3 linked regions of the Rattus norvegicus genome follow. The main gene of each other region encodes a partner of the protein of the gene in region 3 in a complex. Links are inferred from orthologs where the notes say so. Each region holds a gene or a part of one and is shown on either strand. Other genes may lie near its edges. The genes, in order: Tctn1, Tmem67 and Cc2d2a.

Region 1 (3,648 bases), on a different chromosome or scaffold from region 3:
AACACACCCAGTTAAAATAAAACATTTCATCCCTTATAAATTTCTATTTGCCTACGGGCCTTGTCTGTCTCCTTTCTATCCAGAGGCAGTTCTTTGTCCCTGCAGGGCATTATCACACCCCTAACCCCCATCCCTTCTTACTTTCTCCTTCCCCCTCATCCTCTATCTCCTGTTTTTGTCTCTTATTCCTTGCCCTCTGTCCCTCTGGGGCAAATACATCTCCTCTGTGCTGAGAACTTGGTCTTGGGGTCCTGTGCTGTCCTGGTCCATTCAGTTTCCACATCACAGGGAAGCAAACAGACGCTTGAAAACTACTCATCAAGGCACGTGAAGAGGAGCGAGCTGGAAACCCACCCAGCTTGGTTGTAGCCTTCTTCCTCCCTCCCCCTCCCTGAAACCTGCCTGCCTGCCTCCCTCCCGCCCTGGTGCCTCCCTAGCCTCCTGTGGCCCACCAGGCAGAGGAAGGCACACTCGAGGGGGGCCAGCAGCCTCTCAGTCTTTACCTTCGTGTTGGAGGAGTGGGTGACAAAGTGCACAGGCACCCAGTCCTGCACATCCTGGGCTCGTGAGTTCCCAAACGCAGCCACGTAGTCAGGGAAGGCCTGGCCTCTCAGCAGATCCTGCATCTTCTGTGCCAGAAGCCCGCATGGGATGGTGCCTGTCAACCTTTGAGAAGGAAAGAGAGGCCAACAGAGGGAGGAGCTGACAACCTCCAAGACATGTCAGCCTCTACACTTCTTCCTCCCTCTCCAAAAATGTGATCCTCCAATTGCTGACATGGCCCTGCCTTTGCACATCCTGGTCATGGAGATAGCCCAAAGCAGCTTCCCAACTTGTCTCCCACTCCCCTGCCCCCTCTGAACATTGTGCCATGGGCAGAAGCCAGGAAACACAGTGGCTTTCTCATGTCTCCTGGCATCCTGTGGCAAAGTGTTCGGTGGAACTCTTAGGAAGAAACACTGATCTGACATCTAGCAGTCAAACTAACAACAGAGTCACTGCAAAGATGTGGGAAGGGTACAGGGGAAGGGAGATGAGAGGAGCAAAGAGAAGGGTTTGTACAGAGTAGGAATTCATCAACAAATACACAGACCCAGAGATCCATAAATGCCATTGCAGATCTCAGAAGGCTCAGGCAGGAGGGCCAGGAGTTCGAGTCTGCCCTGAGCTACACAGGGTTAGGGTCAGCCTCCACTGTGACGCCTGTGCTATCGATGTGGCTAAAGCTGAAGGATGTGTGATCTCTGCCACAGCCACTCACCTGAGCTGACAGCCAGACTGCACATTGTAGCCAAACAGCACAGGAGCCCGCTGCCCGTGGCTGGCCAGGCAGTCCTGCTTGCCTGTGCTACGAAGAATAGTAAGCTGGCCTTGTCTGTTCGTTGTCTGAATAATCCCAGACATTCACAGACTGTTAAGGGACAGTCAACACTTCCAGAGCAGTCAGACTGTCTAGGAAGAAAATGGCTTCACGCATGCTGTGAGACCTGAGTGAGACGCAGGCTCCTCCAGGCCCTGGCCTATTACCAGGAAGGGTAACACGGCAGCAAATCTCTTTCTTGATTGGCTCATCTTCCAAACTAGTTCCAGCCAGCTGCGGTGGCCAGGCCCACAATCAAGCCCCTCAAAAGGCTGAGGGGGGCACATTTGAGGACCACCTGAGCTACAAGTGAGCGTGAGACCAGTCAGGGTGACCGACTTGCTGGAACCTTGTTTCGAAATGAAGTGTAAGGTGAGGGGGCTGAGACAGGAGACTCCTCAAGTCACCGCCACAGCCAGCCTGAGATTGGAAGCGATGCCAAAGAGTGACCTTTGACCTCAGCACTCAGGAGGCAAGGCATCCTCCTGAGTTTGAGGCCACCCTGGCCTACATAGTGAGCTCCAGTACGCAGTGAGAGACTTTCTTAAAAACAACTGAATAAATGAATCAAAGATTAGAAGAACCCTCTGCCTCCAGCTGTCCTTTTAAATGCACTGCCATCTTCCCCAAAGCACCAGACTCCATTTAAACCAGCCGTGCCACATTTCAGTGGAACGCGCTTTCAGTGGAAGCTCTGGCCAATCAGGTACCTCCTTCCCATAGGCCGCCCACAGCGTCTCTGGCAACAAATGGAAGCACGGCCCACCATGCAGACAGGGAAGGTGACCTTCTCCACAGACCCGGAAAAAAAGGATACCCCTTCTGAGGCTGAAAGCCAGCGGCCAGCGGGAGTCCCACTCTGTAACCAGGGTTGCCACTGAGAGGAACAGGCTTGGTGCCATGCTGAAAGACAAGGTGATGACCTGGGCAACATTATTTAGGTAAGAGCGGGGGCAACACAGTGCTTCTCACTGTAACATCTGGAAGAGCAGCTCCCTCTGTTCTGAAGTATAAATAGATCCCAGAGAGTGGGAGGACAGCGCTCTGTGAGCCTGCAAGGCATGGGACAGCACCCGGCTTCCAGGCAAACCCCACACATTACTGCAGCTCAGGCTGGGAGCTGGGTCATGCTTCTCCACTGTCAGTGCTGCCCCCAGAAGCCAGGCTTCCTCTCAGACTCACCTGAATAAAGTGAATCTCAAACTTCTGCTGCAGGAGACTCACGGTGCTGATGAGCGTCCCCAGCACGAGGGAGAGGCCGGCTTCCTGGATCTGGCCGCTGGCTGTGTATAGCAGACTGTACTTTACCTGGGGAAGAATGGGGCTCAGCAGCCATGTTACCAACTCCAACAAAGCAGCCACAGAAAGACCACAGCCCCCAAGTCTGCTGTCCAATCATGTCACTCGTATCCCCTTAGCATCCTAGTGGACAGTCACCTCAGCCTCTCTGTACCCAGGGTTTTGACATTTCAGATCAGCTGACTCAAGCACAATGTGAACAGCCTATTTCTGCAGAAGAAATGAGTCCCATCAAATGGTGGTAGCGATAAATTGTATGTATGGTGCCTGTGACTGAGTGTGAGAGAGTGTGTACCCATGCCTGCACATGCAGAGTGTGAGCGAGTGTGAGAGAGTGTGTACCCATGCCTGCACATGCAGAGGCCAGAGGCCAGAGGCCAGAGAGTGACACTGGGTGTCTTCCTCTGTAACTCTCAGACTTACTGCCTGGAGACACAGTCCTTCATTGAACCACAAGCTCTATTTCAGTGAGGCTGGCTGACTCTTGGGGATCTGCTGTCCCCCAGTGCTGGGGTTATGGTGGTAGCCATGCTTGGCTTTTTACATAGGTGCTAGGGATTTGACCTCAGGTCTGCATCCTTGTGGAACAAACACTCTTACTCCACTGAGCCATCGTCCTAACCACTGACAAGAAAAATGTGATGTATTCCTGCAAGGTATTGGATCATGTAGACAGGTGAAGGCCTGCTCTCTGGCGGGAGAGCAGAGCAGCAGGAGCAGCTGGAGGTCAACCAAGAAGAGAACCAGCACGGTAGCGACCAGCAGTCCAGCAGGGGAAGGTGTGAAGTTCCCCTGCAGCCAGCAGGCTGGAGTCAGGCAGTTGGAGCAAGACTGCAGACACACTGGATGCCTACCTGGAGAACAACGTTGCTGCAGAGTCTGTCTTGCCCAGTGCTGACCAGAGATGGCCGCAGGATACCACGGCCTTCTAACTGGGTCAGTGTGTGATTCAGAGACCGATACATTATAGACTGGATCTTGATGGAGAC
Region 2 (3,648 bases), on a different chromosome or scaffold from region 3:
AACAAAGGGATTTGTTTAAAACTTTAAAATATATCACCTTAACCATGATAAGCTACAACAGCATTACAGTGACATTTGCAAACACAAGGTCACTGACTGACGAAGAACTCACCTTCACAGACTGGCTATAAGCATTTTTGATGTCAATGTCACTGTAGGCAATGGTGAGTAAGGGAGTGTAGATGTTTCCATTCTTTGTGTTGGGTACAAGGCGTATGCTGTTAAAAGAAAATAAACTCAGACTGCTAAATATATTTAACCCCTTAGGCATATATTTATCATTCTCTTAATTTGGTATAGGCTGTCTTGATATTTTAGTAAGGACTAGGGGAGGCTCAGTATAAACTAAGAGTTAAACCACAGCTCATTCTCATTGGTTAAAAACTTTAACACAAAAGTACACTCCAGGAGACAAGCACTAGGCTCTGATAGATGTGTTATATATATATATATATATATATATATATATATATATATAACCACTGAAGTGCTGTGAGACACACATAGGAACAGCAGAAAGAGCTACACTACATGGCACCTAAACAAAAGCAGATAAAATGTGGCGCTTCAGATAAAGATGAATCTTTACCAAAACACACGACACATTTAGTTTTGTTTCGGGAATAACTTGGCAGCTACGATGCATTAGTAACATATAGTTAGTGAGCCCAAGAAGAAGAGTGCCAGCACGGCCTCACCGAGGCCAAGCCCACCGTGGTTAGGTCTGATTTCATTGGTGTTAGGAATTCTGCAGTGGCTGGTGAGCACGTTAAAGCAGTGCAAATGGGTGTCAGCATGGAGTACGAGGAGGCTCCCACGGTGCCCCACCCATAAGCTTACTATGAGAGCAAACGAACAGCGAGAAACGATGAGTATGAAGTGCTCTGAGAGTAAAACCAGTGCAGTCACAACACATGTTAGGACACGCTAGGGCACATTAGGACACGCTGCAGTGGGCGGTTCAGTCAAGAACCACTATTACATGGAAGAGAGAACACAGGCTGCACGGTGCCACGCTACAAGTGGGGGGTTTTAGAACGAGAGGGATGCTGGCTAATCTGGGTCAATCTAGACTCTAGATTCTAGACAGAGAGCCAGGAAAAGAAGTCAGGTTGGAGAGGCTGAAGACACTATTCCTAAGCTCTTACTAAAGTACCACTGCAGCCACTGATATTACCTTCCTTCCTCTCTCAGCCCTCTGTCTTCCCCAGGTACCGAGAGGTCAAGAACACATGAATTCGCACAAGCTCCTGAGGGCGGCTGGTATCAGTTTCCAGCTTTATCCTTTAACCTTTGCTGGACTCTGCCAATCTACTCATATCTAGGGAGAGCTTAGGTGCTGTTTTGGCTCAGTTCTCCCTATTGTTTCAGTCTGGTGATGACTGGTGTATACCTTCCTCAGTGTATACCTTCACACATCTACATAGTCATCAGGCAGCTTTTACCTCAGTGATATCTGGGTAGCAACTCGAATTACTCTTGGCTGATTTCCTAGGTCATTTTCTCGTCCACTTACTGCATCCACTAAGAAAATGCGCCGAGTCAGAAGCCACTTGCTGGAGCTACTGTCTGTTATTATAAAAAGAGGAAAAGGCAGCATTAGGAAAGCTGTGATCAAACTGCTTCTGTCGGCACTCACGGCACTCACTGAAGAAATCAACATTAAAACCTTGTCTTTTGTGTATGATGGCCACATAATAAGAAACTGTCAGGCGTCTCTGCTCCTTGCCTAGGTCACATTTTATAGCATGGGTAGCAACAAAAGAAATTAGTTTGTCTCAAAATAGGGTCGGAAACAGAGAAGAAAACGTCTCAGTTCACAATTCTATTTGTTATTCTAGGGATATACTCTCAGCAAGGGAATGATATCTTGAAAATCAAATTAATAAATGGCCTAAAGCTGCAGCAGTTTTACTAGTTGATTGTACCTTGGCTCATACTGTATAAAATTGTACACTAAAAGGATCCATAAAAAGGGAGGTGGAGCTGGAGAGATGGCTCAGTGGTTAAGAGCACTGGCTGCTCTTCCAGAGGTCCTGAGTTCAAATCCCAGCAACCACATGGTGGCTCACAACCATCTGTAATGGGATCTGATGCTCTCTTCTGGTGTGTCTGAAGAGAGCTACAGTGTACTTATATATAAATATTTTTAAAAAAGAGGATCCACAATCAGCATCATCATCCCTGGTTCCTGAAATGATCATATTTGGTTTACATCTATTGATCTCAGCTATGAGAGAGCAGGGGAGAATGCTTACCTTGGTTCACAAACAGTTTATTATGTTGAAGATTGAGGTTTAACACTGGGATAGCCCAAAGGTAATGATGTTGCACTTCATCAGTATATTCCAGGTAAATATCATAAAACACAGGACTGGGAAAGTCAGCCAGGAGTTTAGAGAGAGAGATTTCACACTAGGACGTAAAATAAAAATAAACACACCACAACTCAAAATTAGAAAGCATATCAAACTTTCTCTTTTTAACTTTATAAAGTATCTTTATATTATTTGCATGACTTCCAAGAGACTTCCAAATATAAATTTCTAAAAGTACCACTCGAAAAAAGAAAAAAACAAAGAAAACGAAAATGTCAACCAGTGAAGAACTTTTCTATTTTTAATCTATAACATGAAGAGATTGGCTTTTAGTTCCAATACTAAATATATATCAAAGAAGAGGCTTAAAGTGCTGTCCTACGGGATGAATAAAAAGGTTTTTTTGTTTTGTTTTGTTTTTCCTGATGCACAGGACTGGCTCCCTTCAGGAGGGTTAAGCCCATCTCTGACTGTCCCCTACCGGTCTATACTCACCTGCTCTTACCAGTCCAGTCCAGTCCAGTTCCTTTCCACGTATGTACGTGCCAGGCCCTCCTAGCCTCCCAACATCACAAGTGTGGGTTCTGCACAGACTCCTTCCTTGCTATGGTCCATCCAACTTCTGCTCATTGTATACCTTGAGTAGCACTGACTCTGCAGTCCTTCTGTACACCCCGAGAACTGATGTCGTATGCCTGTCTACAGTGTAACACTTGAATAGTTGCTGCCATTCTCTGCCTACATAGTTAGGGTCCTTACTGAGCTGTGAACTACTTCTGTGAGTAACAGTTACACTGCGGTAATCATGGTTTTACATCTATCAGAACATGGACCTGAGGTGACCATTTTATAATCGCCTAACATTACTGTGTCCCACTGAAGCACAGACACCAAGTTCCTCACTCAGTTGTTTTATGAATTGAGTGGGACTTCATTGAGAAAATGCTGGGTACATCACCCTGTAGTTCACACCTGCAAAGCCTCCCTTCCTGTAGTCCACACTGTTATAAAAAGATGTCAAAACACCTTGTAGGCCACTTCTGACCATAAAATTCACGTTCACGGTAGAAAATTAGGAAAATATAAGATATAAAACAAAAATCATCTCTGGCACAACTGTCCAATATTAATCAATAAAAATGTTTATTTTCCTCCAATGACTTTTTCAGGAAGGCACTGTTCACTGGGGTTTTGTTCTGTGTGTGTGCACATACAAGACGTTAAGAAACATTTTTATATGCTACTGAGATCTTTCAAATGTTACCATTTGTACCATACTGCAGTGTCAAAGTGAAAGAAAGTCATGACAGGAAGGAGAAAGGGAAGTCTG
Region 3 (4,196 bases):
CATTACCTTTCAATGAGTTTTGAAAGAAATCAAACGACACCAAAATTTATTTCTCCTGCGAGCACTACCGGCCCCGAACAGATGAATAAACACCCCTCAGCTTTAATGAGCCCCTGTCGTCGCATTTGCCATGCTCACTTGTTAATACACTCTGTGACAGTGTCAGAATAGGAGCCCTGGGCGTGTAGAACTGGAGCTTTGCGTTCCCTCCACACATGAGTTCTCCTCACCCACGCATAGCAGGTCTCAGTAGGACGCATGCCAACTTCGACCCAAGCAAACCAAGATTTCCAAAGTTATGTGAGGTCACAGTCTTTAAATCTCAAGCTCAGTCTGCCCTCTGAGCTTCGGGGCCCCAAAGTTCCCCCTGGTCCCACTTTAGTCTTGCTAAAGCACGTTTACCATCACTCTTCTAAACTATCCTTAGTGTGGAAATACTTACAATGGAAAGCCACAAACACTATAGCAGTGTCCTCATTACACAGGCGACACAAGGCCAATAATCTGTTTTACATTGGACAGAAAAACAACACATTTTTAACGGAAAGTACCGACACTGCTATCTGACCACACGGACCTATCTCTAAAGTCAGCTGTCATAGTCACATCCAAGAACCCAGGGATGACCCAGCAGATACAGAGAAGAACTGAGAGAAAAAGGCTGTAGTATATAAAGCACTTAATTGATGCTGCTCCTAAGGATGGTGTATTAATTATCAAAGAAATTATGGCTTTAAAGAGTGAGGCGTTTGAAAAAAAAAAAAACATGGTCCTGGGTTCAAATTCCCATCTTGCCAGCTGTGTGATCTTGAAATAACACAGCCGATTCTGTAAACTCATAATCATACTTCCTACCTCAGGTGACGATGGTTTCTTATGGGCTCTGTACTGAAAATATTGCAATAAAGTGACTGTCACAGACCAGGCTCACTGTACTGGTAGGGTTTATTATTATAGATGTTGCCAGGGTTAGGGTCAGAACCGTTGGCAACTCTAACAAGATAGGCTCGGCCACAGTAGGGCAACAAAAGAGAAAAATAATGGACAAGTCAGAGATAATATGGTGACTTTGGGAAGTGGAACATAGGTGTCCAGTGATGTCAAAGTCTGTCTTCCTGGGTCCTGATGTGAAATTTAGGTCTGAATAAAAGGTACCAGGAGGGATATATAACTAAGCAGTTTTGGTCAAGGTGTGGTCCTTCCATCACTGACACATCATTGTCTCTGTCCCAGTATCTTATGCAAGGTCACTGACAAGCTGTCAGAACTCTTTTTTGGAGAGTAGTCATTCTCCACGTTGGTACTTGGAGCCAATCTTTTCCTTCTCCCAGCACTTGGTACTGAGAAAATACAATTTTTAGAGTTAATTGTCTTAATAGTCTGATAGCAGAAGGAGAGGCACAAATGTTTCTTTGGAGTATCTTTTTTCCAACAAGAACGGTCATAAGAGGTCACAGTTGGGGGGAAGGGATCAAGAGGGGAAACATCGGTTCAGAGAGGAAGAGAATCATAAAAAACACCTTAGGGGGTTGTGCACCCTTACTCTCTTTAGTTTTTATTCCCACCCCTCACAGCCCTAAGCAAGTCTCTTCTCCCCTTCCTCCAGCCATGCCCAGGACAAGGCCTTTCCTTGTCTGTTTAAAGTGTTGCTGGAACCTCCTCCCCTCTACCATACTCACTTTTTCTCTTCAGAGAGGAGGCTTTTCCTTTCCAGTGGGAGGGCCCACTCAAAGCTGGGAACTCTCAGGAGCTGTGATTAATTATGTAACGGCAAGTTATTTTAGCCCCGGCTTCTAGAGTTCAAGGTGAGTGACACAGCTGTGTGTGGTCATTTAATCAGATGGAGGGGACACCTTTCACTTGTTGAGGGCAGGCTCTGCTCAGTGGGATTGCTCAGTTGCTCAGGGGGGCTGTGGCAGGAGTCCTGCTGTGCGTAGAGCTCTTTAGACCTTTTTACAAATCCCTCTTGGTGCTAATCTCATGTGCACTCCTTATCTGTTTATACATCTGCTTCCCCAATGCTTCTCAGCATTGGACCTGGTCTGCATCGTTTTTGTACACTGTAAACCTGAGTTCATTGTCTGCCGTATTATTGATGCTCAATAAAAAACTCTGTAAGTGAACTCTAGGTCAACTATTTATATATATATACACATTTTCCCTCTATCCATATACAGTCCCCCCTCTACATATAACATACTGTCGTTACATTTATTTGTAGAAACGTTTGCAATAGCAGACATGTATTTCTCATTAGACTTTATTAGCTTTTCTTAGCACCCATTTGCAAAAAAGAAAACAATCAGTTCAGCTGATGGCTAGTAGACTTTTCTGGGAGCTTGGTGGCCTGTGGTTCCTAGCTCTTTGTCCAATACCAAGAAAAGTGAAGTTTGCAGCACCAAGCACTCCCTCCAGCCCGCCCTCCTCTTCCTTGGAGCATTTTAAACTGAAGGGCCAAAAAGCAACATGGAGCTAGCGGTTGGCAGCACACTGGCCAGCGAGGTTCTCTGTGAACCAATCGGTTTGCACTTCTGCAAGCCAGAGACCAAACCGCAGCTGAAACCAAAGCTGTCTCTGCAGTGCCCCACCCCCCACTTTGCATTCAGAGAGTAAAACTGCAAGCGAGCTGAGCTGAGAGTCCCTAATGTTAAAGCGTTCGGTCTACTCTCATGGCACAGGGAGGGGCTGCTTTCCAAGCCGGAAGGAAAGGAGGTGAAAGCAGTACACTCTGCAGCCCTGTTTCTTTTAAAAAACCGATTTACCTTAATCCACTCTACAAAACGAAGTTTGCAGATTCCACTCTCTGGGATGGAGGGACGAGATGAGAGACCAGTTGTGTCAAGCTAGAGAATCTTTTAGAAATGAGCGAAGGGGTGGGCTGGGGTAAGGGAGGTTGTTCCCTGAGAAGCTGCAGCCATGTCTCAGGGAAAAAAAAAAACACCAGCTTAGCAACCAGTTCCCAGGGAAGGTCACTAGGCGGCTGCTTTTTTTTCCTTTTAAAGTGACAGTTTACTTTTCAGTCTTGAAATATGAGCTTGCTTGGCAAGCAGAGAAAAATAACGTGCTGAGAAGAGACAAAGGGAAAGCAACTGGGCAGTTGAGCAGAGAGGACTCAGGCTCGGAAGCATAGTACCCTGCCTCGTGTCTCTGGGTTGCACGGCATGTTGGGCAAAGGACAGAAGGTGTTCATGAGTAGTGATTTAGAATCAGGAGGGGCCATGTTATGTGGAAGAGATGTTTAATCATCACCAGCAAAGACTCTGTGGCCGGGCATCAGAGCTCCATGTTTGCTGGCTGTGCACAGAAGCTGGACCGCACAAACCTATGCTCTGTTTATTCTCCAATTCTTTACTACACATGACTCAGCAGGGATACAAACATGATGGCTCAAAAAAGGCAAGAAAATAGGAGAAAAGGCCGAGGAGAGAGAAAAGTAACGAGCAGACCGAGAGCCTCTGCGGACCAAGGACAGCCACAGATCAAGGAACTCCACTGACCATGGCCTCCTAACCTCACGTGCTGTTCCTCAGAAGCCTGCCATTTTGTTTCTTAGATAAGGTCTCTCACTGGAAGCTGGCATTTGGTGATTAGGCTAGGCTGCCTGCCTAGCTCCAGATTCCTGCTTGTCTTAGCCTCCCTGGTGCTGACAGAACAAACATGGACCACCATGCTGAGCTTCAGCCACCTTCAAAACCAGGTCCTCACGATTGCGTGATAAGCCCTTTACCAATGGAACTACCTCCTAGCCTCTATTTTCTGTGTCATAAAGCACTGACATTCATTATATGCATCTCTGAAGCTAGCTAATTCCTAGCTAATGGCTCCTCAGAAATGTGTAAATTCTCTTTGATACATACTAACTGACCCCAAGCTAGCATTTCCAACTACTGCTTTATTACCATGTAATGTCCCCCTGCTCTACGTCACTCTGGAGTCGGGTGGTTAGGGGGCAACTCTATAATCCAGAATATTCTGAAATAATTCAAATTATTTAATTCTAAACCCATCAGCATACTCACTGTCACAGCCTTCCTTACAGGGGAAAAAAATCCCAGTAAAGGGTCTCTTTTGGAGCCTGATGTTTGGGGAATGCTGTTTTCGGAGACTGTTGGCCAATGAGTTTCATTGACAGGCCTGTCTTGGCCTCCCCAGTGCTAGGATTATAGATATCTGTAGACACTTGGCTTTTATGTGGG

The links.
Region 1: Cc2d2a (region 3) and Tctn1 share a complex: the UniProt entries of both Homo sapiens proteins name them as parts of the tectonic-like complex. The link is inferred for Rattus norvegicus from reciprocal best matches to the Homo sapiens genes CC2D2A and TCTN1.
Region 2: Cc2d2a (region 3) and Tmem67 share a complex: the UniProt entries of both Homo sapiens proteins name them as parts of the tectonic-like complex. The link is inferred for Rattus norvegicus from reciprocal best matches to the Homo sapiens genes CC2D2A and TMEM67.

Annotation. Positions count from the first base shown.
Region 1 is NC_086030.1:39,994,495-39,998,142, reverse strand, and holds part of Tctn1 (tectonic-1 precursor), read right to left. Parts: coding exon 3,514-3,648; intron 2,669-3,513; coding exon 2,543-2,668; intron 2,264-2,542; coding exon 2,178-2,263; intron 1,403-2,177; coding exon 1,262-1,402; intron 667-1,261; coding exon 504-666; intron 1-503. UniProt on the Homo sapiens protein: Component of the tectonic-like complex, a complex localized at the transition zone of primary cilia and acting as a barrier that prevents diffusion of transmembrane proteins between the cilia and plasma membranes.
Region 2 is NC_086023.1:30,362,642-30,366,289, forward strand, and holds part of Tmem67 (meckelin precursor), read right to left. Parts: intron 2,416-3,648; coding exon 2,259-2,415; intron 1,570-2,258; coding exon 1,446-1,569; intron 219-1,445; coding exon 113-218; intron 1-112. UniProt on the Homo sapiens protein: Required for ciliary structure and function. Part of the tectonic-like complex which is required for tissue-specific ciliogenesis and may regulate ciliary membrane composition.
Region 3 is NC_086032.1:71,645,406-71,649,601, forward strand, and holds the start of Cc2d2a (coiled-coil and C2 domain containing 2A), read right to left. Parts: upstream 2,927-4,196; 5' UTR 2,763-2,926; intron 1,699-2,762; exon of another isoform or gene 1,680-1,698; intron 1-1,679. UniProt on the Homo sapiens protein: Component of the tectonic-like complex, a complex localized at the transition zone of primary cilia and acting as a barrier that prevents diffusion of transmembrane proteins between the cilia and plasma membranes.